3 linked regions of the Kluyveromyces lactis genome follow. The protein of the gene in region 3 interacts with the protein of the main gene of each other region in a pairwise test. Links are inferred from orthologs where the notes say so. Each region holds a gene or a part of one and is shown on either strand. Other genes may lie near its edges. The genes, in order: MAM33, GRX5 and KLLA0_F03839g.

Region 1 (6,530 bases), on a different chromosome or scaffold from region 3:
TTTCAAAGGAGCTTGGGTGGCAATATAACGTACAGACTTGATGTCAGCGGTAGAGCTTTGCTGAAGTTGGGCAAAAGGATTAACCAAATAGTTAGCATTAATATAGGTATTCCAAACATCCTCTTGTTCATCTTGAGTTGGCAAGCCACTAGCACAGGAACTATATGCGGAAGATCTCGGGGAAGGGGTTGAATTCTCACAGCCAGCACTGCATATACTAGAATGCGAGAGCTTTACTCTTGTGTGCTCATAAGGAAATATATCCTTATATCTATTCTTCGTCCCAAATTCTACCCCAGATGATATTGTGATGCTTTGTAAGTTCTCTTCAGCATCATCCTCATCAACATCATAATGACCATCTTCGACACATCTGTCGTTACCAGCTACAGTAGACCGAGATTGAGTGCTGACAATTGAAGCGGACGATGAGGGGCCCAATAATCTCTGAAGTCTTTTTCTTTCTAATAACTCCAATCTTTGGAACTTAGATATAAAGTGCAGTTTTGGAATGTCCATTAATTGGCAGAACCAGGAAGGAACTACCTGATTGATCTCCTCTGAAGCAAATCTGTGGTATAGGTTATCATATTTAACTTGGAAATTTAGTTTAGATGAATTGTGGCCACTAGAAGGATCTGCTGGCGATAATGCTGTTTGAGTTGAAGTAAATGATGACGAAGTCGCATCGGTACTGAACTGTTTGGACGGTGAAGCAGGAAATTTGAAGGATCTTAGGTCATTTTCTGATTCTAAGAAAGAATTTCTTTGAGAGCGTTCATTGATCTCTACGGCCTTCACATAATTATCTAGATCGGAAATGTCATGCTCAATCTGCGGTAACTTAAAAGTTGGTAAATGTTGATTATTTATCGGTGCCGGCAGTTTAAATCCAAACAAAGATGATAATGGTGATGATGTGGATATTGGGGAACCAGATAGAGTCCTACTGTTACCGGTTTGTGGTGGCTGTTTCAAAGGAGAACAAGAATGCGAATGAGATCTACCAGAGTGTTTCAACTGCGGTTGAACTGGAGAAATATTGTCTGCCTGATGAGGGGAAGATGGGGAATCTAAGGTATAAGAGTCTTCCAAATCCATGGTACCAACTTCGACGTCATCAGGATATGCTGCATTAAATGATTCAAAACCTTCTGCGAGAATGAAAACAGAAGGCTTTTGTTTGTCACTTACATGATCGAGGATCTTAGAAGATATTCCGAAACATGCCAATGATACTGCATAATCTGTCTGGTTTGCCACATTATCGTAAATAACCACCTTGGCATTTGCAGTGGCGCTGTCACTGCCCAATAAATATTCCGATAAAGTTTCCCTTCCTGGGGAAGGTAGATTACCTATCAACCTTTCCAGATTGAAGTTTTTCCTTTTCAGTAAAGTCGAGGGAAGACACAAGTGCATTGCCGATCTGATGTGATTTTTGTTGAACTCTATGAACGGCCTTGTATCGAATATTATCAGTTTTTCATTGGGATTCTGGTCCATATTTTCAATATAATGGTGCAAGTCCGCAGGGCTAATAAACGAGCAGTCTTTATGTTTAGGAAATCGGAGATCTTTTGGACATATTGTTGGAATAGCGGGCAAGCTATTGGACTTCATTGCTATGCTCCGCGATCTACTCCGTGAAAACGAAAGGGAACTTCTATGAGATGCTGACAACGGTGAAGGTGTACATGTACTATACGAAGGTTCAGATGCTGAAGGGAAAGTCGACGCATGTATCAGAATCTTTTCGGGCAGTACCTCCGTTGAATTTCTTTTGTAATTTGCGCTCAGGGCAGGAGATGCTAACGATGAATTCGACGATTTATCATCGATCAAAGTGGATGACGAACTTAGAACTGATGAACTTTCCGATGTGAATGAGCTGCTCTGAATTGAATCACGATCTTTATACTCTGTACATCCAGATATCGATGGTGGTCTAGCGAGAGGCCTTGAAAACGAAAGAGGTTCTTTGAGTTGGATTTCTTCCTGTTGTTTGTTGGTGCCCATCGTGTCTATATACTCCATTTCTCTTCGAAATTATAAATAGATTAGATTTGACACCCTATTACTAACAAAGTACTTTCTTTCTGTATGCTTAATTTGACAGTTTTGTCTTGGTATAGGTTCTTATTTGGTGTCTTCGTTAAAGCAGTGATTCGAACAAAGTTAAAAGATAGCTGAAGATGTTGGAAGCTGTTCTATTTGGTTCAATAATGCACTAGACCTAGAAATTACGAATTAGAAAACACTTGACCGAAAAGAAAAGAAATTCTAAAAAAGATATTGAGAAGAGGATTGCATAAGGATACACAGATGCATGCATTCGAGAAACATATCCAATGGAAAAAAAAACAACAACAACAACAATTAGCACGCACATCCACGTGATATACGGTCGAATTACATAAATGCATATGTGATATAGTAATGCCCACTTCGTTGGTTGAACCAGACACCTTGCTACTTAATTAGATTACTTTTCATCTGTAGGAAATTACCTGAAAAGACACCTTATGTAGGCAGAAAGGTACTGAAAACAAAGGACTCAGAAAAATATGCGATAAATCTTCTAAACTATTTACACCCTCATGCCGATTGCAATTTTACCAAGCAATACTCATCTCTTGTTGAATAAGAACCGCAAATTGTCAAGACATGTTACAAGGATATCACGGATGAAGAAGCAGTTTCTATGGTTAATTACGACACTCTGTTGCTTTGTGAAATGTATGAACAAAAAAAAAGACACAAATCTAGAAATCAACAGTAGAGCCGAAAGAACGGTATAATAAGGACCGAAAAATATGCTAATAGTCAAAAGATCTAGATCCCCTGGGTACTAGTCTGAGAGTATGTTCTTGGACTTGTACTCTTCAACTTGTGAAAAGTAGTTTAATAGAAGAATTGCAGATGGCTGCATAACACACCACAGCAAAATCCTGGGAATAAATTTCAATCATGAGCATAATCATAGATGGGGCTCTTTTGCGCAGTAAATTACGTCGTTACAATTATTTGCAACTGGCTTTTTTTTCTTTCTTAGAACTGACAATGAATGTTGTCCTCCGTGCTCTTGCAAAAACGAACACGAATTTTCTCGGGAAAACCAAGGCGTTGATCATTGTTCCGGTTCGAGACTACGGTCGAAACGGACATTACCTCTCTGCCCTAAACACACTCTGATCAGTAAACGTTCATTTGTCAAATAGTAATGCGAGAGTTACCATGGGACTAAGGCTCGAAAAATTTCGTACTTTTGATCCAGAATGTTAGCACGGAAAGCAGTGACCAAAACGGTTCGAAAGTTCGCTTCCCTCACAAAAGAAAAGAATTTTCAATAGAAATGGACTCGGGTCTCGAACATCTTTCTGCAAGCTGAAACGAAGAAATTAACGTAGTGAAATAACTCGGAAACTAAAGGCTACCACTACTCACAAAACGAAAAGCGAAAATTACGTACGCCTAGAAGTCAACGCACTGTATCTGTACCAGGGTCCGCCCTTAGAACTGTTCGAGCAATTTGTACCCGGATGGCGTCTTTACCTCTTTTATTGGCTTGTTTACACTTTACTCATTCACGTGACGCTGAACGTGCGGGTAAATATGAAAAGGGCATCCACCTCATTACCCTGATATACTTTCTTTTTGCCACACTCTAGGATCGAGAGCTGAAAGGAAAAAGAATTCTGGAAAGATTATAAGCTCTTATATTGAACTGTGATATTTCAAGCGATGAGCTAGCTTATTTGATCCAAATTTAAGGGTTAAAACAAACCAGTCCTATAGGATAAGCCCCCTCCCCTGATAGAATACTATGTCCCTACGTTTGATTACCCGTGTTGCCTCCCGTGTTGCTGCTCGTCCAGCTTCCATCCAGGTGGCCAGAAATGTGATTGCTCGTCCAACCTTTATCACATCTTCCCGTCAACTCTCCTATACTGCTACCACTTTCAACCAACATACTACGAAGGTTGCTCAAGTTTTAAACAGCGAAGTCGAATTAGAAACTTCTCAACAAATTGTCGACTTGCCAGAAGAATTGGCTACTTTCCTGTCCAAGTACGGTTTTGAGCCTGTCGTTCAAGAAGGCCGTAACTTGGCTCACATTAGAAGACAATTGAACGATGAAACTATCAATGTCTTCTTTGACGTTGCTCAAGTTGCTAACTTGCCTGTCGAACCAGCTGCTTTAGAACAATCTGAAGAACAATTGGAGGAAGATTTCGATAGTATGTCTGATAACTTTGCCAATGTCAACATTGTCGTTGTGAAGAACTCCGACAACACAGCAATTTCATTTGAGCTTTTGATGAACATGCAAGAAGGTTCTTTCTACGTCGATTCCGTTACCCCATACGAATCAGCAGAAGATGCTTTGAATGAATCAGCAGAAGCCGAAATCAAGAGAGAATTGGGATACCACGGTCCTCCATTCTCTAACTTGGATGAATCTTTGCAAGAGTCCTTGGAATCTTACTTGGAATCCAGAGGTATCACCACCGATTTAACTTCATTCATTTCTAATTACTCTGAGTTCAAGGAGAATAATGAATACATTCAATGGTTGTCGAAAATGAAGAAGTTCTTCGAGTAATTGCAACAATAACTCTTTTTCAATATGACTAAAGACAGAAGTATTTGTTCATTCAAAAACAATTCTGCCTCTTGGTGGTTTTACTTCACTACTGATCACTGAGCTTTATGATCCCTCTATCAACATTTCTCTTGTATATACATAATTTTTCTCTTACCTTTTTTATTATGGATTTTTAAGGCAAATTTGTACATTATATATCGCTCTATGTAATATCTGTTATAATGTACCTATCGTCTTTTCCATTGGTACCTTTGATTATTACACCGTTTGCAATAGTTTAATTATTGAAATGCAGAGCCAGCAAAAGACAAGCCTCCAAGTGAGATGCCTTTTTCATTGGTTTAGTATGTACAGGAGGCATCTCAATTATGTTGGTGAAAAGTCATCAATGTTGGTGTCCAATATTGTTTCACAATATTGTCTAAACAATTTTTCGATTTCGGGGCTGTTAGAATCCCTATCATGTTCTAGGTTATCCACAACCTCTAGGATTCTCTTTCTTAATCTTATTAGATGCCTACGAAACAAAAATTTTCTTTTAAGTAAAGAATTTGAATCTTCCGCTTCAGCTTGCACTTCCTTTAGTTCTTCATCGGTTAAATTCAAAGATGATTCCAATGATTTTATAAAACGTACAGCTTCAAGATAAACAAAACGCATACTCTCTCGAGTGCTTCCTCTCTGCTTCAACAACATTACTGGATCACAGAGCATTGTGGTAATGAACTCGTCTATTATCGTTTTCTTGAAAGTCAAAGGTAACGCGTCTTTGCATGACATAACAATTCTCAATAAGAACATCCATGGTTTCCAGGATAAATAGCTCTTGTACTCATCATTTTGAATCGAAGTCTTTGCTTCATTGTCCTTCATAAGTGCAAGACATGATTTTACAAGTTCTGTCGCCTTTACAGGATCACTGTTGTTTAGCTTTTTAGTAGCCTGTCTTTCAAATGCTTTATAAGTTAAAACGACGTGCTGTAAGGGTTCCCGCAACATACCATCATCCATCATCTTACGAAGTAGCTCATAACATCTCTCTCCACAGTTCTCCGGATCTGCTTTGATAATTAAGTTCAACGCAGCGTTTATTGTTCTGTTGTTGAAAAGGTTTGGTCTTTTTCCCAGGTAATGCTCGAAGAAAGCGATACCATATTCGTATTGTCCGGTCTTAAAGCAATTTTCCATTAAAAGATGTGCAACATGGGGAGTCAAACGCATTTTAGATTTGATATTCCAATTCTTCAAAGCAGGCAACTTGACAAATTCTGGTATTTCTTTCTTGAAACGAACATTTGGGACCTTAAAATCATAGAATATATCAAGCAGAGGCAACACACAATTGGAAAATCGTAGATCCCTTCTAGAGTGCCAAACGTTCAAATAATGAAAAAACATTTGTGAATCGATAACTTTGGGGTCAGCAGAGTTCATTATATCATCAGCCCTTTGAATGGCTTCCACTGCATCTGTAATCTTCGCACATCCAATAAGTAGTTGCGTGTACGCAATTGCATCTTTTTTTATACCTTTGGGTCTCAAATCAAAACATTTGAACAGGTAACTAGGGTCGTTAGAGTTCGCCAACGCACTTAATGCAGCGTTAAAATTTATATTATTGAGTCTTTCATCTTCAACCAATTTTAAAACTATCTTCACCACTCGTTCTGCAACTTTGACAGAAATTGGTTCTGGCAACCTTGCCAACCCTTTGAACAAATTTGTTTCAGTGTATTCATTGGGAGGTATTTGCCACTTCTTTCTCCAAGAATATAAATCCACAGCGGAATGGCTATCTTTTTCAACTTCTAGATAATGTGTCATTAATGTGTTCATTCCAGCTGCACCATTTGGTCCAGCAAGCTTTATAAGAAATAAAGCCTTTTGCAACTGGCCTCTCTTACAAAATTTCGCAACATCG
Region 2 (6,502 bases), on a different chromosome or scaffold from region 3:
GTGATGCTAAGAGTGTTAGCGCATCTATCGAAAACACTCTTAAAGTGTTCAATGGGTATGTGGACATCTATGAGCCAGCAAGATTGGACCTTGAACTTATAAAGAAGACTGGTGAATCGGTTTTCCCTCGTGAAACATTTGACACCATCGTTGAATACGTCAAGAAGGGTAAAATTGGTGGTATTTCATTGAGTGAAGTAACCGCTGAACAAATCAGAGCCATTCACAAGGAGTATGGTGAATATTTAGTCTGTGTTGAAGTCGAATTGTCCATGTTTTCTGCTGAAATTCTCTCGAACGGTATTGTCGACACTTGTAACGAACTAGGGTTGCCAATTGTTGCCTACTCTCCATTGGGTAGAGGTTTGCTAACTGGTGCTTTGGCCAAGAGCTCTGATATCCCAGCAGGTGATTTCAGAATTCAATTGAAGAGATTCCAAGATGACGCGTTCGCTCACAACAAGTCTTTAGTCGAATTTTTAGAGAACGAAATTATCGCTAAAAGATCTGATAACGTCACTTTACCACAAGTAGCAATCGGATGGATCCGGGCTATCAGTAAGAACTATCCAAATACTAAAATTATTCCTATTCCCTCAGGAACAACTGTGGACAAGGTAACCTCTAATTATAGTTTCATAGAATTATCTGACGAGGAACTAGCAAAGATTGACAAATTTTTACAATCTTTCAAAACTGTCGGTGGAAGATACGAGATGATTCGTTAGATATTATGTTAATGATTCCATGATTTTACGAACTTGTCAATATGTCACGTACCAGTGTAGCTGAATATATCCAAACAAATATAAAAAAAATGTTATCATATTCTAAGAAAGCAGGTATGCCAATGATATCGCCATGACATAGGATCAGCAACCAACTATAGAGCGTTCTATTTTATTTCAGTTTCTGTCATATGTTTCTGTCATTTCCACTGACACTGAAATAATACTAGTAGAAAAGAATGGAAAAATTATTAAAATAGGTAAAAAAATTCAAAGTTAACAATACTTCTTTCACATTTACTTTAATCATTTGAAGTATTGAAGTCTGGTAAAATTGGTATCAATTTGGTCTTATGGCCCAAGATAACAACTGATGTTCATCTCTGACTATCATACTGGCTTCTGGTGAGTTATCTATACACTATCTCCTTGAAGTTACGATAATGAACATAGATCAAAAGTATAAAATTACCACATAAGTCTCAATGGATCATTATTCCGTTTTGTCATTATGGTAATGGTCTATCAGAGTTGGTAAACAGAGCATTTTTCTCATTGTGTTTTAGTATATAGCCAGAGGAAGTGTACGTTATGAGATGGGATGCTACTACGAAGGCAGTCTTGCTCAGTTTTTCAAGGCTGAGAAGCTCGAAGTTAGACTGTTCATGTGATCAGTAAAAAGATCATAAAAAAGGACCCAGCTCAGCAGCGAGACTTCTATGAACGATACTTTTTCTCTAGGTTCTACCGAACCATCGTCTTTCTTTATTTGAGTGATTTCACGTAAACGGGAACTTGTCGTGCCTGATGTGCATTTTTCTTTATGTCCATCACTGGCGGTGCAGTAATGTGTTCGACTGGATTGTTTAAGTACTTCCGACTGAGGGCGTTACATGCATTAGACATTTTCTTTGAAAACGTTTACGATTTTTCAATGTGAATTCACTTTCACACAAGACGAAGAACAAACTTGCACGAATTTGGTGACAGAAATTTACAACTGCCACCAAATTTTAAGATCTTAACTTCAAAAGAGCGGAGTTTGTGAATACAGTGTCCATTATTCACAAGTCTAAAGGCATAAGATCATATTTCCTCATAAAATCAATTATAAATATTGCAGCTTGTTATAGACATACATAGTTTTTTGCAGCCAGAGTTGCGCCGAGTGAAATGTACTTAATCTTCTTCTTCTGGGACCAAAGCATCGGACTCTTCCAACAGTTTAGCTAATTCACCCGTTTGAGCCATGTTCATCACAATGTCACATCCACCGACAAATTCCTTGTTAACGTATAGTTGTGGGATGGTTGGCCATTCGGAGATTTCCTTGATACCTTCACGTAACTCAGGGTCTTCAAGTACATTGTAAGCAGCAAACTTCACTGGATCGACACCTTGTTGACCTAACATATTGATTGTAGCTCTAGAGAATCCACATTGTGGGAATTCTGGAGTGCCCTTCATGAATAAAACCACCGGTGCTGATTCAATAGCATCTTCAATAGCTTTCTTTGTCTCTTGTGATATGAATCTTTGGAAACTTAGATGTGATCTGAAAGCAGGACGTAGGAGCGGACTCTTAGTGGCCAAAAATCTTGAGAACATTGTTGGTATTGGAAAACCTGAGCGAAGCGATTTTAACTGTGAGGCTAGTTTACTGGGCTTGAAAAAATATCAATCAAACGTTGGAAGGAGTATCGCAGTTCAGTATTTCAGTATTTCTTTATATGTTGGTTAGAAGTGAAATATCGAATTATAAAGTTTCCGAAATGTTTAAGCCGAGTGACTAAGAGGATAGAGGGCAAAAAACTGAAAGACGAGTTGAGAAGACAGTACAAAACTATGAATTCAGTGAATGGAGTGGGTAACCTTGAATTACTTTGGCATCAAAGAAGAATCGTTAGATATTCAGAATGTTTGGAGGCCAAGTTTAAGGTGAATAAAGACTGTGATGAGTAAGCAGCACGTGACATGGTTCTTTGCAATGGTTCACAAATCCCGATATGAACTGAAAGTAAAACATTTGTGCAAGAAACCAGCTCGTATGGCGCAGTGGTAGCGCAGCAGATTGCAAATCTGTTGGTCCTTAGTTCGATCCTGAGTGCGAGCTGTTATTTTTTTGCCCCTTCTTCATCCTCATCGAGGGCCTCTTTTTTTTTTTTCATGACGTTCGGTTTCTAGGAGAAACAAATCGAGCAGTAAATTGTAACGATGTATATCCCATTATTTATATGACATTAGAGACGTGATTAGGTAGAAATGAAAAGTGAAAGCGTAAATTGGTATTAGAATATTAACTGAATTAATGTAATGTGGTGTAGAAGTAAACTTGAACTGAAATTTGAAGTAAATGAGTGGAGCAAGGAACTTGGTAAATTAGAAGAGACAGAAAAAAAGAATGAAAATAAAACACCCCATGAAAGATGTGGTTTTATTTATTTTAATGTCATTTAATTATGCAAATTCGAATGAACAATCTCCGATTGATGGTTCTTGTAAAGGTTGCAATTCTAACTGTTGAAATCTTTCAGCATGTTCATGGTAGTAGAACCCCAGAATGTTACCAAGTAATTGATCGTGTACTATGTAGTAGTAGCCGTCGTAAGATGCACCATCTATTGATTCCAAATCGGCATCAGGCACCAGGAATTTCTCATTCCACCTCATGTAAAGGAACCTTTGATTCAAGTAATCGGTATGTGAGTAAGTACCATCGATGATAGATTGTAGAATATTCTTAGAAGGATACTTTGGATCGTTTTGCATGCAAAGTTCTTTGAAAGATGGGAAATTCAACCAATGCTCCAAATCAGTCTGGTCCGAGGCCTTATAGGACGCATAATCTATTGGGATATCTTTGGATAGAAACCCTAGAGAATCCGTTACGGTGATGGATTCGAAGAAAGTGGTGATCTCGGGATTTTGTACCGTGAGACCCTTTATAGAGAGGAATCCAGTCAAATGAGGCGAGCAACAGTTGGATTCGTTATCATTTGGTAAAGAAACAGATTGGATAGTGATCATGACTTGGAACTTCTTGTATCCCGAGAGTTGGTACCCAACAAACCGTTTTCTAGCCCCTAGCCAATGAGTTCTTTCGTGGTTCTTGGGAGTCTGAGGTCTCGATCTAGGAGGCGAGTTCAAAGATGGTGAGCATGAGTCCTGGATATCGTAATCCTCCGAATCTTGAAAGTTTTCATGCGAACGCCGTATCGAATTGATAGAATCGTGAGACCCAGTTCTGTGCAGCGAAGTGTTCCTGAAATATGGGTTTCTATGGAAAAAAGGAGTCAAAGGCGCAGGGAATGCTATAGGTGATTGCTGTTTTTGCTGTTGCTGTTGCTGTTGCTGTTGTTCCTGGGTCTGACCCTGACCCTTATATGGAGACGAGCTACTCGCCTTGGCGAGTTGCGTCTCCAACCCAGAGCTATGCGAACGTGTATCTTCGTTGATCATCTGTAAAATGTATGAATGTATCTTGCCTTACAACTTGTAAGTTGTAACTAGTTTTCTAAAGCAAGTAACTAACTCACTTGACAAAGGCAATCTGCGATGAAGCAGCGAACAGATTAATACGTCCAACAATAACCACTCGGTATATATACATATATATAGTAATAATAATAATAATAACTATCTCAATCAAGAAGGTAATATAAAAAGCATCACCAGGCCACCTTTAAAAAGCGAAGACCAGATCGACATCGATAAAGAAATAAGAAAAAGAGATAAAAGGAAAAGAAATAAAACACGGCAAAGAAACCGACAATGAAACACGCGGAAGAGGAAGATTTCCAGTTCCAACCATGACTCTATCCTATCAACTGGACTGGGAAAAACCAATGAACAAGGCAGAGACAGAAGTAAAATGGCTGCATAGGTGAAAGGAGTGACACATAATGGAAAAAAGTAAAAAGAGAGTAAATGTGTTCAGGAGTGAATTATGATCGAGGTGCGAGTCTGGTGTTGAAGGAAAAGAAACGGGGGGAAATATCGAAGAGACTGTGCACCGGTTTCTGGGCAAAATACCCGGAAAAACCTTTCGTTTTGGATTTTCTTTTTTTCCGGCACCAAGTTGGAACAGAGAGGTACCCAACGAAATGGCGGAGGAAGAATCAAAGAAGGACCAAAGTTCACAAAAAGAAATACGAGAGAATGTTGCTACAGGGGAAAGGAACATTCACAGACATAGCCCGATCCGGTTTGTTCCGAGGTGCGGGTAACAACTTAGCGCAGCTAACTCTTTCTTTCTCTACGCTCGGTGTATGCTGTCAAAAAAGTGTGGCTCTTCTAGTCACGTGATTACTGTTATAACGCGCCCGCTTATGTTACCCGGATATATGTATATTTGCTATATTTGTATTTTCGCCACCGTTCAACGTTATTCCGGGTAACACAATGGGTATCTCTCTCATCGTCAAAAGATTTTCTCGTCACTTCTTCCACATTCAGACTGGAATTTAAAATAAAATCTGTATACCATCTTTTCACATACGTATCTATTAAATGATGCACTACTACTTGTTGCACGTATTATCGGAACTACTCTTTTTCAACTTTATATACTTACTGATTTATGTATGCCTTTTCTAATAATTAGTTAGTTAGTTGTCCTTTGTCCACTGGAATCTGCCGTCGATAAGCAATTCATAGTTAGAAGAGAAGTGCTCTTTCTTACCAAGCCAATCCCAGCTGTAACTCTCTAACCACCACCATGAATGCTCAAATCAGTAACCTAGTCATCATGTTGATCATGATGCAAGTATCTCGTCGTTTGGATATGGAGGATCCTTCGATCGTGTTGTACATCCGTATCGCTTATGTCGCTTCTGTTGCCATCACTTGGTCCATCTACCAATACGCTAGAGCTCAAATCGTTAAGAAGAACGATTTGGCCACTTTGAAATACGTGGCTCCAGCTAACCCATTGGGTGGTCAAACCGAGAAAAAATTGGAAGTCACTACCGTTCGTGATTACGATTTACAACAGATTGATTCTGCCATTAAATCCATCTACACTGGTTTGGCTATGATGGGTTTCATGCATTTGTACATGAAATACACCAACCCATTGTTCATGCAAACCATCTCACCAATCAAGTCCGCTTTGGAACATAACGAAGTTCAAATTCATTTGTTCGGAAAACCAGCTTCTGGTGATTTGAAGAGACCTTTCAAGACTCCATCTTTGTTCGGTGGTGCCGGTGGTGCCAGTGAACCAAAGACTGACAAGAAATCTATCGAAACTGCTGAAAAGGCTGGTAACGGTGGTGTCAAAGCTGAATAATCGGGACGCGCATCGTTGCGTTTTCCAATCATGTGTTTTCTTCATCCATCTCTCACCATTCTCTTATAAATAAACACGTATATATGTATATAAATGTACATGCGTGTATGTATACAACTATTAAGATACCTCAATAGGATGTTTTATCGTAGCTTTTGTTCAGTTTCTTTCGTGTTTAAGTGTTAAATTGTACACATAGACTTCGCACTTTATTTGAAAGAAACGTGAATATTATTCTATAAAGATCAGACCCAACCCTTAACTGTTACTGATCGAGCCGACCAGATCAATATCCTCCAAGCAAAATGGATGTCAGTGATGTAAAAATATTGATCCTTGGTGCCGGTGGTCTTGGATGTGAGATTGTCAAGACATTGGCGCTGTACGGTTTGCCAGAATTACATATTGTCGATATGGATACCATCGAATTGACCAATTTGAACCGTCAATTTCTATTCAGTACCCGTGATATTGGCAAACCAAA
Region 3 (7,844 bases):
GCCAGTCCACAGATTCCAATATCTCGCGTTTATCATGGAAGAACTCGAACAAAGCATCCAAAAATTGCCATGTATCTAGAGATTGACGTGCAAATTTGGTAAAGTAGTGCTTGATAAATGGATCAAATACCTCTTTACCTCCTAACAGATTCTCTAGGTAGAATAGTAGGTTAGAGCCCTTTTCGTAAGGGACTGTCGAAAATGCATTATCAGGATCGGTACCATCCTTCAAATTTTGGACCAAGCAACTGAACCTTTCAGGGTTCTGCATAGCAGAAATAGAACCTTCCAAATCATTCCAACCAATCAACGAGCTGAAATGTCTGGTAGCTTCACCATGAATAGCACCAGTGATTCTTCTTTCTAAATACACTGTCCAACCTTCATTTAGCCAGAAATGGTCCCAGGAACAGTTTGTGACCAAGTTACCAGACCATGAATGTGCCAATTCATGTGCGATAACGTCGATGTTCGACTTATCATGGGCAATTAGAGTCGGTGTGGCAAATGTCATGTTTGGAGATTCCATTCCACCATAAGGGTATGAGTTTGGGTTCACCAAAATGTCGTAGGTGCCCCATTCGTATTTGAAAATGATGTCTTCAGCAGTGGTAATGAATTTTTCAACATCACCATCAAATTCCCACTGGGCGTCCTTTAAACGATAAGGTTCCACGTAAACTTTGGAACGAGGACCAATATCAGCGCTGGCCAAATCACCTGATGCGATACCGATCAAATATGCTGGAATTGGTACTTCTTGCTTGAAAGAGTAGACCTTAGTAGAATCATCGTAACCTGTTTGGATACCCGAAAACACAACTGGTAATTCAGACTTGATGTTGGCGAGATATGTAGATTTTACACTTGGGGTATCAAAACATGTGAATAGACTTCTCGCATGGATGGCTTCCAATTGAGAGAAAACGTACGGTTTCCCAGATGTTTGGTGTTCATCAAGCCATTGCAATGCTGTACAGTCTGCAGTTGTCGAAAATTGTAAGCACAAATGGAATATTTCCGGCAAAGAAGATGGACTAACAATTAACTGAGCACCCAATGGATGTTTTCTTTCTAACAATTTAAACTTCACGTCGTCTTCATCATCCACTTTGACTTTAGAGATCTTCAAGTAAGAAGTATCCAACTTGATAGTGTTTTCATCCTTCTTCACCTTTTCAATCTCGTAAGAGACAGAACCACTAATGGTTTTCTTTTTGAAATCAACGCTAACATCCAACTGTGAATGCTTTACCTTGAAAGACTTGTAATTGGAAAGTGTAGAATAGTCGAATTCCGGAGATTCTTTGGGACGACGTGATTCAAGAACAGGTGGAAGTGGCATTTTTCTCGATATAGGAGAGGTTTGGAAATATCTAACGTTCGATAAAGCTTTAGCGGGTAAAGATTTACAAGCAGCCGAAGTTTTATTGTAAAAATTGAAAAGCATACACTTGGCAGGGATGAGTTTAACGATGCGCCGAAGATGGAACCGCTTGAAAAATTAGGTAAAAGACACACAATTGACTAAATATTGGTCAACCTCAAAACGATCTCTCCAGTAGTTAGATATTAATGAAAAAAAAAAAAAAACACACACACACAATATTAAAACAAAAAGACAGACAAAGCTCTTGTTAAAGTTTCCACAATATAGGGGTAACAGGGGACAAATTAGAGCCAACTGAATTAGCCAGTACGTGCATGCACTTGTTTTCAAAAGAGAAACTCAAAATGGAAGTACAATATAAGAAAGAACGCCAAGATGAATGAGAAGATAGTATGTATTGTGCAATACCGGAGATTTTTTAACATTCGTTCATATTTCAAGAAGCAAAAGCTCAGATTGACACATTTTTTCATGTACCCTTTGTCAATTCATATTGTGTACCGGGTAATAAGTGTTTTTGACACATAGAGTAACCGCATGGGACAAATAAGATGGAATAAATATAAACATGAAATGTTCTCAGATCAAAGTGAGGAAAATTGTCACCACGAGTCTGTGTCAGTTGTATGTTCTTTCATTAAGCTGTATTAAGCGGCTTTAGGATGGAAACAATGACGTTCATTTGTAAGCATTTTCGCACTATAATGCCTTTTATTAAATATGATACTACAGTATGATTCATGGTGCTTAACATGAGACACTGTAACTACTGAGAGAACATCGATTAATGCGATCTATTATATGAAGCTATACGAACTTCTCAAGTATATGTAAAACTATCCAGTTCCATTTCGAGTACCAATCCCAGCCCATTCCGAAAAGGTTCGCGTAGAAATAATATTTGACCATTTCCTGAAACATATTAATCAGCCGGGCAAGTATCAGATGCAGTAGCGTCACTATACAGATAACGAATATGACACATGGCATGAATCTCTCTGAATATATGAACCTCTCTAATTTATTCAAATCAGACCCTACAAATTTTGCTTGTTTGTTCCTTGTGCCTCTGTTACGCAGACGTGCAGTTTTGCTCCTTGAAAACAATCTAGATATCGATGATGTTTTCAAACGTCGCAGCTTAATATTGCCCGCGTTCGTCTTTTGTATCCCATCATACGTATACACCATGGACGCATCTTTGGTGAAATACTGCATTGAGAGATACTCCCACAGTAGCTTTCCAGAGCTATTTTTCTTGAATAATGTTGGAACAGTAACGTTCTGCTCTTGAATTTAAATGATTCGCCGGGGGTACAGTAAAGACTTTGGATATCAGTCCCTTGCCTGCTGATCCGCTGATATGTCAATCACTTGATTCATTACTTTACTCAATTCGAGATTTCAATAGTCATATTGAACGAAACGTAAACAAAATCTGAGAAAGGGAAAACGATATTTCGGTGTCACGTGTCATTAATCGGAAGAGGTAACTGTGTGATCGGAGAAATCGCTCAGAGATCTTGCAGGAACCCCAGTAGCAACAAATACAGTATGCACACAGGTGTTACACACAACACTTCAAAGAGGTGGCTGAAAACATGACAAAGAGCAGAACACAGGTATCCAGTTGAAGAGACGGTTTAGCCGAATAGGACTTCTACTATACCGTCCATTTCGGCCAGTTGATTTCGACGTATGCCACACGTAACAAAAAAAATGCCTATGGATACAAGGAGATTCAGTTGAAGCAGAATATCCTCATCACTCTGTACAGGGCCAAACGTCAATACATGGTAATATATACTACTAAATATCATTCTTCCCACAGATCTATCCTGGACAGTGCCATTGACGTCTTCGTCCTAGCTTTTCACACCCCTTATCTGCAAGCTTTACACCACCAGGATCCACAGCATCCTTTCTCCAACCCCATCCATATGTATTGAACCTTTCTTTATCTCACAGAAGCATCGAATGCAAAAAATGGAAAAAAAAAAAATCATAAGAAAATGCTGTAGTAATCACCAAGTACAGTAATATTTAGAGGAAGTTTTGGGAGCCCAGCTTTAAAAATAACAAAAATTTGAAATTGCAATTAAAATTGAAACTGGGAAGAATTATTTAAGAAATTTTGCAAGGACCTCAAGTTCAGTACAATACTAGGGATTTGTGCTTCCATTTTCCCTTTGTTAAGAAACTGATACGATAGAACGTTAAAGAAAGCGTTTTCTCCTGGCGAGGTATTTTCGGTACTTTGGAGATAATTACGGTTTGAGTAGTTATTAAGGAATAAAGAAGGAGGAGCCCTTTAGCTACAAAAAAAAGAGAAAAGCCGGGCTATCGCAGACTTTATCATCATAATCATCATCATTATAGTTTACTTCTGATTTGTGCTTTCGAGTGATAAGATGTCCAAACAAAACACTATGACTAGCAGTATAGCCGATATGCTTTCGCAAAACCAACACAGTTTGCAGCAATTGCAGCAGCTGCAACAGCAACCATCTAGAAGTTTGACTTCTGCTGATTACAAGAATTTCCAGCAAAGCGGATTGAATGGAACTAGCGCTAACAACAGAGTTTCGGTTGCTGGCCAGACAATTCCTTATCCGACCGATAACATATCTATCGATGTGAACCAACCGCGAGGATCCATGTCAGCGGATGTTGTTGGCGTTCAAGGGAATGCAAATGCAACTGGTCTTGAAGAAGGAATTTCTTTCCCTCAAATGAATTCTTCCAAGAGACAGCAGCAGACGAATTCGTTGACTAGCTCGCATACGCATGTTAGCAGAAACAGGGCTTCATTGCAAAGACATAGGTCCAACGGTCAGGATCCCAGATCTCCTTTGGTGGTATTGATGCCTACTAATGCGAACCCTACAGAAGTTCTCTCTCAGAGATTTGCAGCATGGAGAGGTATTATCAGATCACTTCTTGTATATCTACAAGAAACGGTTTCCATCCAAGATGAAGTTGTAAGACAACATTTGAGATTGCAGCATGCAATTAACTTCCCATTTTTCACCATTGATAGCCAACATCAACCTACCACTCCAGAGGACAAGAACATTCAAAAATTCTTTTTGCCTCTAGGGCACGGATCTATTCAGGATCTACCCACCTTATTTAATCAGTACCATACGCAAATGGTCCATGCAGCATCAAAGGCCTCCAAGGAATTGAGTCAAGATGTGATCCCCAGATTAGAGGATATGAGACGTGATCTATTGGTGAAAATTAAAGAAATTCAATCTTTAGAGTCAGATTTCAAAAATTCATGTAACAAGGAACTTCAGGAAACCAAAATTCGTTTAAAAGCTTTCCAGGAATCGTTGGAAAATTCTAAATACGGATCTGTGAAACAGGATCCTTTCCTAGCGAAGATCCTTTTGGAAAAACAAATCAAGAAACAGTTGACCGAAGAGAATTTCTTGCATGAAGCTTTTAATAATTTACAAACTTCTGGTAGGGAGTTGGAAAAAGTTGTTATGATGGAAATTCAAAACGCTTTGACCAGTTACGCTAAAGTTTTAGGCCAAGAAGCTCAGATAGTGTTTGACGTTTTGATTTCCAAATTGGACACTGGTTTTTTCAATAAAGATCCTGTCTTTGAATGGGAAAACTTTGTCGCTAAGGACCCAAATTTCATCGATCCTAACTTACCAATGAGACGTGTCAAAGACATTGTTTACAAGAACCAAAATGATCCATTCACGTACGAGATTAAATCTGGAATTCTCGAAAGAAGATCCAAATTCTTGAAATCATATTCTCGTGGGTTCTATGTCTTAACTCCAAGTTTCTTGCATGAGTTTAAATCCGGTGATAGGAAGAAAGACTTGATTCCCGTAATATCGTTGTCTTTGAATGACTGTACTGTTGCAGAACATTCCAAGAAAGGATCTTCAGACTTTAAGTTTATATTGCATACAAAACAAAACGGGATTATCCACAGAGGTCATAATTGGGTTTTCAGAACAGATTCTTACGAATCTATGATGGACTGGTTCAACAATATTAAACAGCTAACTTCTACCTCCAATCCTGTGGAAAAAGCTAGATTTGTCACAGAAAAATTGAACTTGGATGGCTCACATAATAAATCGGTATTGACACACTCTACACCACAAGGCAACCAAGCAGCCAGAGCTAGTGTTGACAACAATGACTCGATTCTGGCAACCCCAAGGACAGAAAACGAGATACACGCTTTTTCTGAAACTACAGGTAACACCACTTTGAACAACTCTAATATCGAGCCAATGAACAAAGCATCGCAGTTTTTAACCCCTAAAAATCCTCGTAAATCAGGCCAATATTCATTAGAAAATTCTGCCAAGAATAACGTGTAGTAATCTCGCCAAAATGGCACCATGTCACCTCTCTCTGCTAATACTTCCGAAACAAAATTGTAACAAGTATGATGTCATGTTTTCAAAGCAAGTGCATATACGAACTGATATCGAAACATCTATAGCTTTACTTCATTGTCTAAGTAATGTAACAATTTATATAATTCAAATTCAACTGAACATTCTATTATGAGTCAAATTGAGTTCCTCCAACACCTCGTTCCATGAACGTTCAAACTCTGAATCAGAAAATTTTGATAAAGAGCACATCTTGGCTCTATTTGAGATATCAATTCTTTGTACAGTATTCAATTTCGATACCTGAGCAAATAACGTGCGTAAAGAACTATACTTTGAAGAATCTTTGGCTAGAAAATCCGGATCAGTTTCATCGATGAAGAAAAAGCCGGTTTCATTAGCTTTGTCAGTACTTTGTTCATTCTTCTTTGAATCCCATGGCACTACAATATCATAAAGAGGTCCAGCAGAAGCATGACATAATGGGATCAAACCACTTGCCATATATTCCACGACAGCTATACCAAAATGCTCATTCCACATTGCGTTTATACCAAACCATGAAGAATATAATATACTCTTCATATCATCATATTTACAATCAGTTTTGAAATCCACTAAATGGGTTGGAATTTTAAGTGCCTCAAAGGCATACTTCTTCAGCGTTTCAACATATTCCCTATCCTCTACGTTTCTTGTTGATCCTATAAATATTATTTTAGGAATCAAATCTTTCTTAGTCGTAGCATCGATGAAAGAAGAGAAGGAAGATAATATCAATTCGTGTCTTTTTTCTGGTCTAAACTGCGCAATAACAACCGCTTGATTTAGTCTTTTAACTGGATCTGATTTGTCACAGCCTTCTATCAATGATTCTGTGGAACATGGTGGATAAATAATGTGAATATTTTTTGTTGAGGACCAGATGGATTTAATATGATTATAAGTCCAAGTTGAATTAGTCGATGCAATTTCAACAAATAAGCCTGAAAATTTGTATGCGAGCATGAATATTTTCCAGTAGACATATTTACCGATCAGTTTAAAGTTTGTGTGAAATCCTGGCATAGTTTTTAGCTTTTGTAGCATATCTGTTGAGATGACAGGATAATGGGTATACGTTACAATTGGAATCCTAGCAAACAAAGATACAAAGGGATAAGCAAAAGGATATCCCATTGTATCTATCCAATAATCTGGAGCAAGTGTAGTAAGCGCTTCAATGGACAAAATGATGGAACCATAAGCTTGGCCTAATAGCGTAAATTTCGGCCAACTTTTTGATTCTACCAGTCTTCTCTTCTGTAGGAAAATGAATACTATTCTGTCCGAATCTAGATCGTATTCAAACCTTCTCCGCACACTGTTCAATATATCTGATCCATTAACATCTGTGTCTCCGGTATAGATAACGCATATATTGTTTTTATCCTGATTTAGCGATGTCTCAACGGCTTTCCACAAGACTTTCTCTCCACCACCACCAGCGTTACAGTAAGGATGGAAAAACCCTAAGAGTTTACGCTTTGAATCAAAACCCAACTTATTAACGAATGACTCTCTCTTTATTCTATCATTGTATGCTATATGAACCCTATCGCCATATATTTTGTTTGTATAATCCGATGGCCTTTCAGAAGCTAAAATAAAGGCTCTTCTAACAGAGGAGTTCTTCCAACCAAAATCCAGCACAGGAATCCTGTTCAAATTGTTTGAGCATTTTAGAAGTGAGTTATTAACACGTAACCTTACTTTCGCTGGTAGAGTTACTAGCAAACTTGGTATGAAGGATGACAATACTTTCAATGTAACCAATCCTGCGAGTAAGCTGCCGAACACGTACGTGACAAAATCAGCCAGCTTCATTGTTTGTATATCAATTGAAAAGTAGCCCAGGACACGCGGCTGACTTGTTTAACTCGTAACTAACGTTCGCTAATATATTTATATCAGGACATTAAGGCAAGATTTTCATATATTGTACCTCATCTTTTATGTGTAAAATAAGATTGTTCACAATCTGAGTTTCCTTATCGTTGAAACTGAACCGGAGTTATCCGCATAGACACGACAGATCT

Evidence for each region.
Region 1: the proteins of KLLA0_F03839g (region 3) and MAM33 interact in a protein complementation assay, tested with the Saccharomyces cerevisiae proteins (2 studies listed by BioGRID). The link is inferred for Kluyveromyces lactis from reciprocal best matches to the Saccharomyces cerevisiae genes SLM1 and MAM33.
Region 2: the proteins of KLLA0_F03839g (region 3) and GRX5 interact in a two-hybrid assay, tested with the Saccharomyces cerevisiae proteins (2 studies listed by BioGRID). The link is inferred for Kluyveromyces lactis from reciprocal best matches to the Saccharomyces cerevisiae genes SLM1 and GRX5.

Annotation. Positions count from the first base shown.
Region 1 is NC_006039.1:672,222-678,751, reverse strand, and holds MAM33 (Mam33p), read left to right. Parts: upstream 1-3,826; coding exon 3,827-4,606; downstream 4,607-6,530. Other genes in the region: tyrosine protein phosphatase PTP3, read right to left, coding at 1-2,037; MRX1 (Mrx1p), read right to left, coding at 4,976-6,530. UniProt on the Saccharomyces cerevisiae protein: Not known. Binds to the sorting sequence of cytochrome b2.
Region 2 is NC_006038.1:832,099-838,600, reverse strand, and holds GRX5 (monothiol glutaredoxin GRX5), read right to left. Parts: upstream 2,337-6,502; coding exon 1,908-2,336; downstream 1-1,907. Other genes in the region: KLLA0_B09658g (pyridoxine 4-dehydrogenase), read left to right, coding at 1-728; glucose-induced degradation complex subunit VID24, read right to left, coding at 3,186-4,187; SND3 (Snd3p), read left to right, coding at 5,446-6,018; NEDD8-activating protein UBA3, read left to right, coding at 6,324-6,502. UniProt on the Saccharomyces cerevisiae protein: Monothiol glutaredoxin involved in mitochondrial iron-sulfur (Fe/S) cluster transfer. Receives 2Fe/2S clusters from scaffold protein ISU1 and mediates their transfer to apoproteins, to the 4Fe/FS cluster biosynthesis machinery, or export from mitochondrion.
Region 3 is NC_006042.1:361,881-369,724, reverse strand, and holds KLLA0_F03839g (SLM1 family PH domain-containing protein), read left to right. Parts: upstream 1-3,801; coding exon 3,802-5,748; downstream 5,749-7,844. Other genes in the region: LAP2 (bifunctional aminopeptidase/epoxide hydrolase), read right to left, coding at 1-1,450; KLLA0_F03861g (uncharacterized protein), read right to left, coding at 2,198-2,608; alpha-1,2-mannosyltransferase ALG11, read right to left, coding at 5,920-7,632. UniProt on the Saccharomyces cerevisiae protein: Together with SLM2, acts as an effector of the TORC2- and calcineurin-signaling pathways. Phosphorylated and activated by TORC2 under favorable growth conditions. Mediates actin polarization via inhibition of calcineurin-dependent transcription.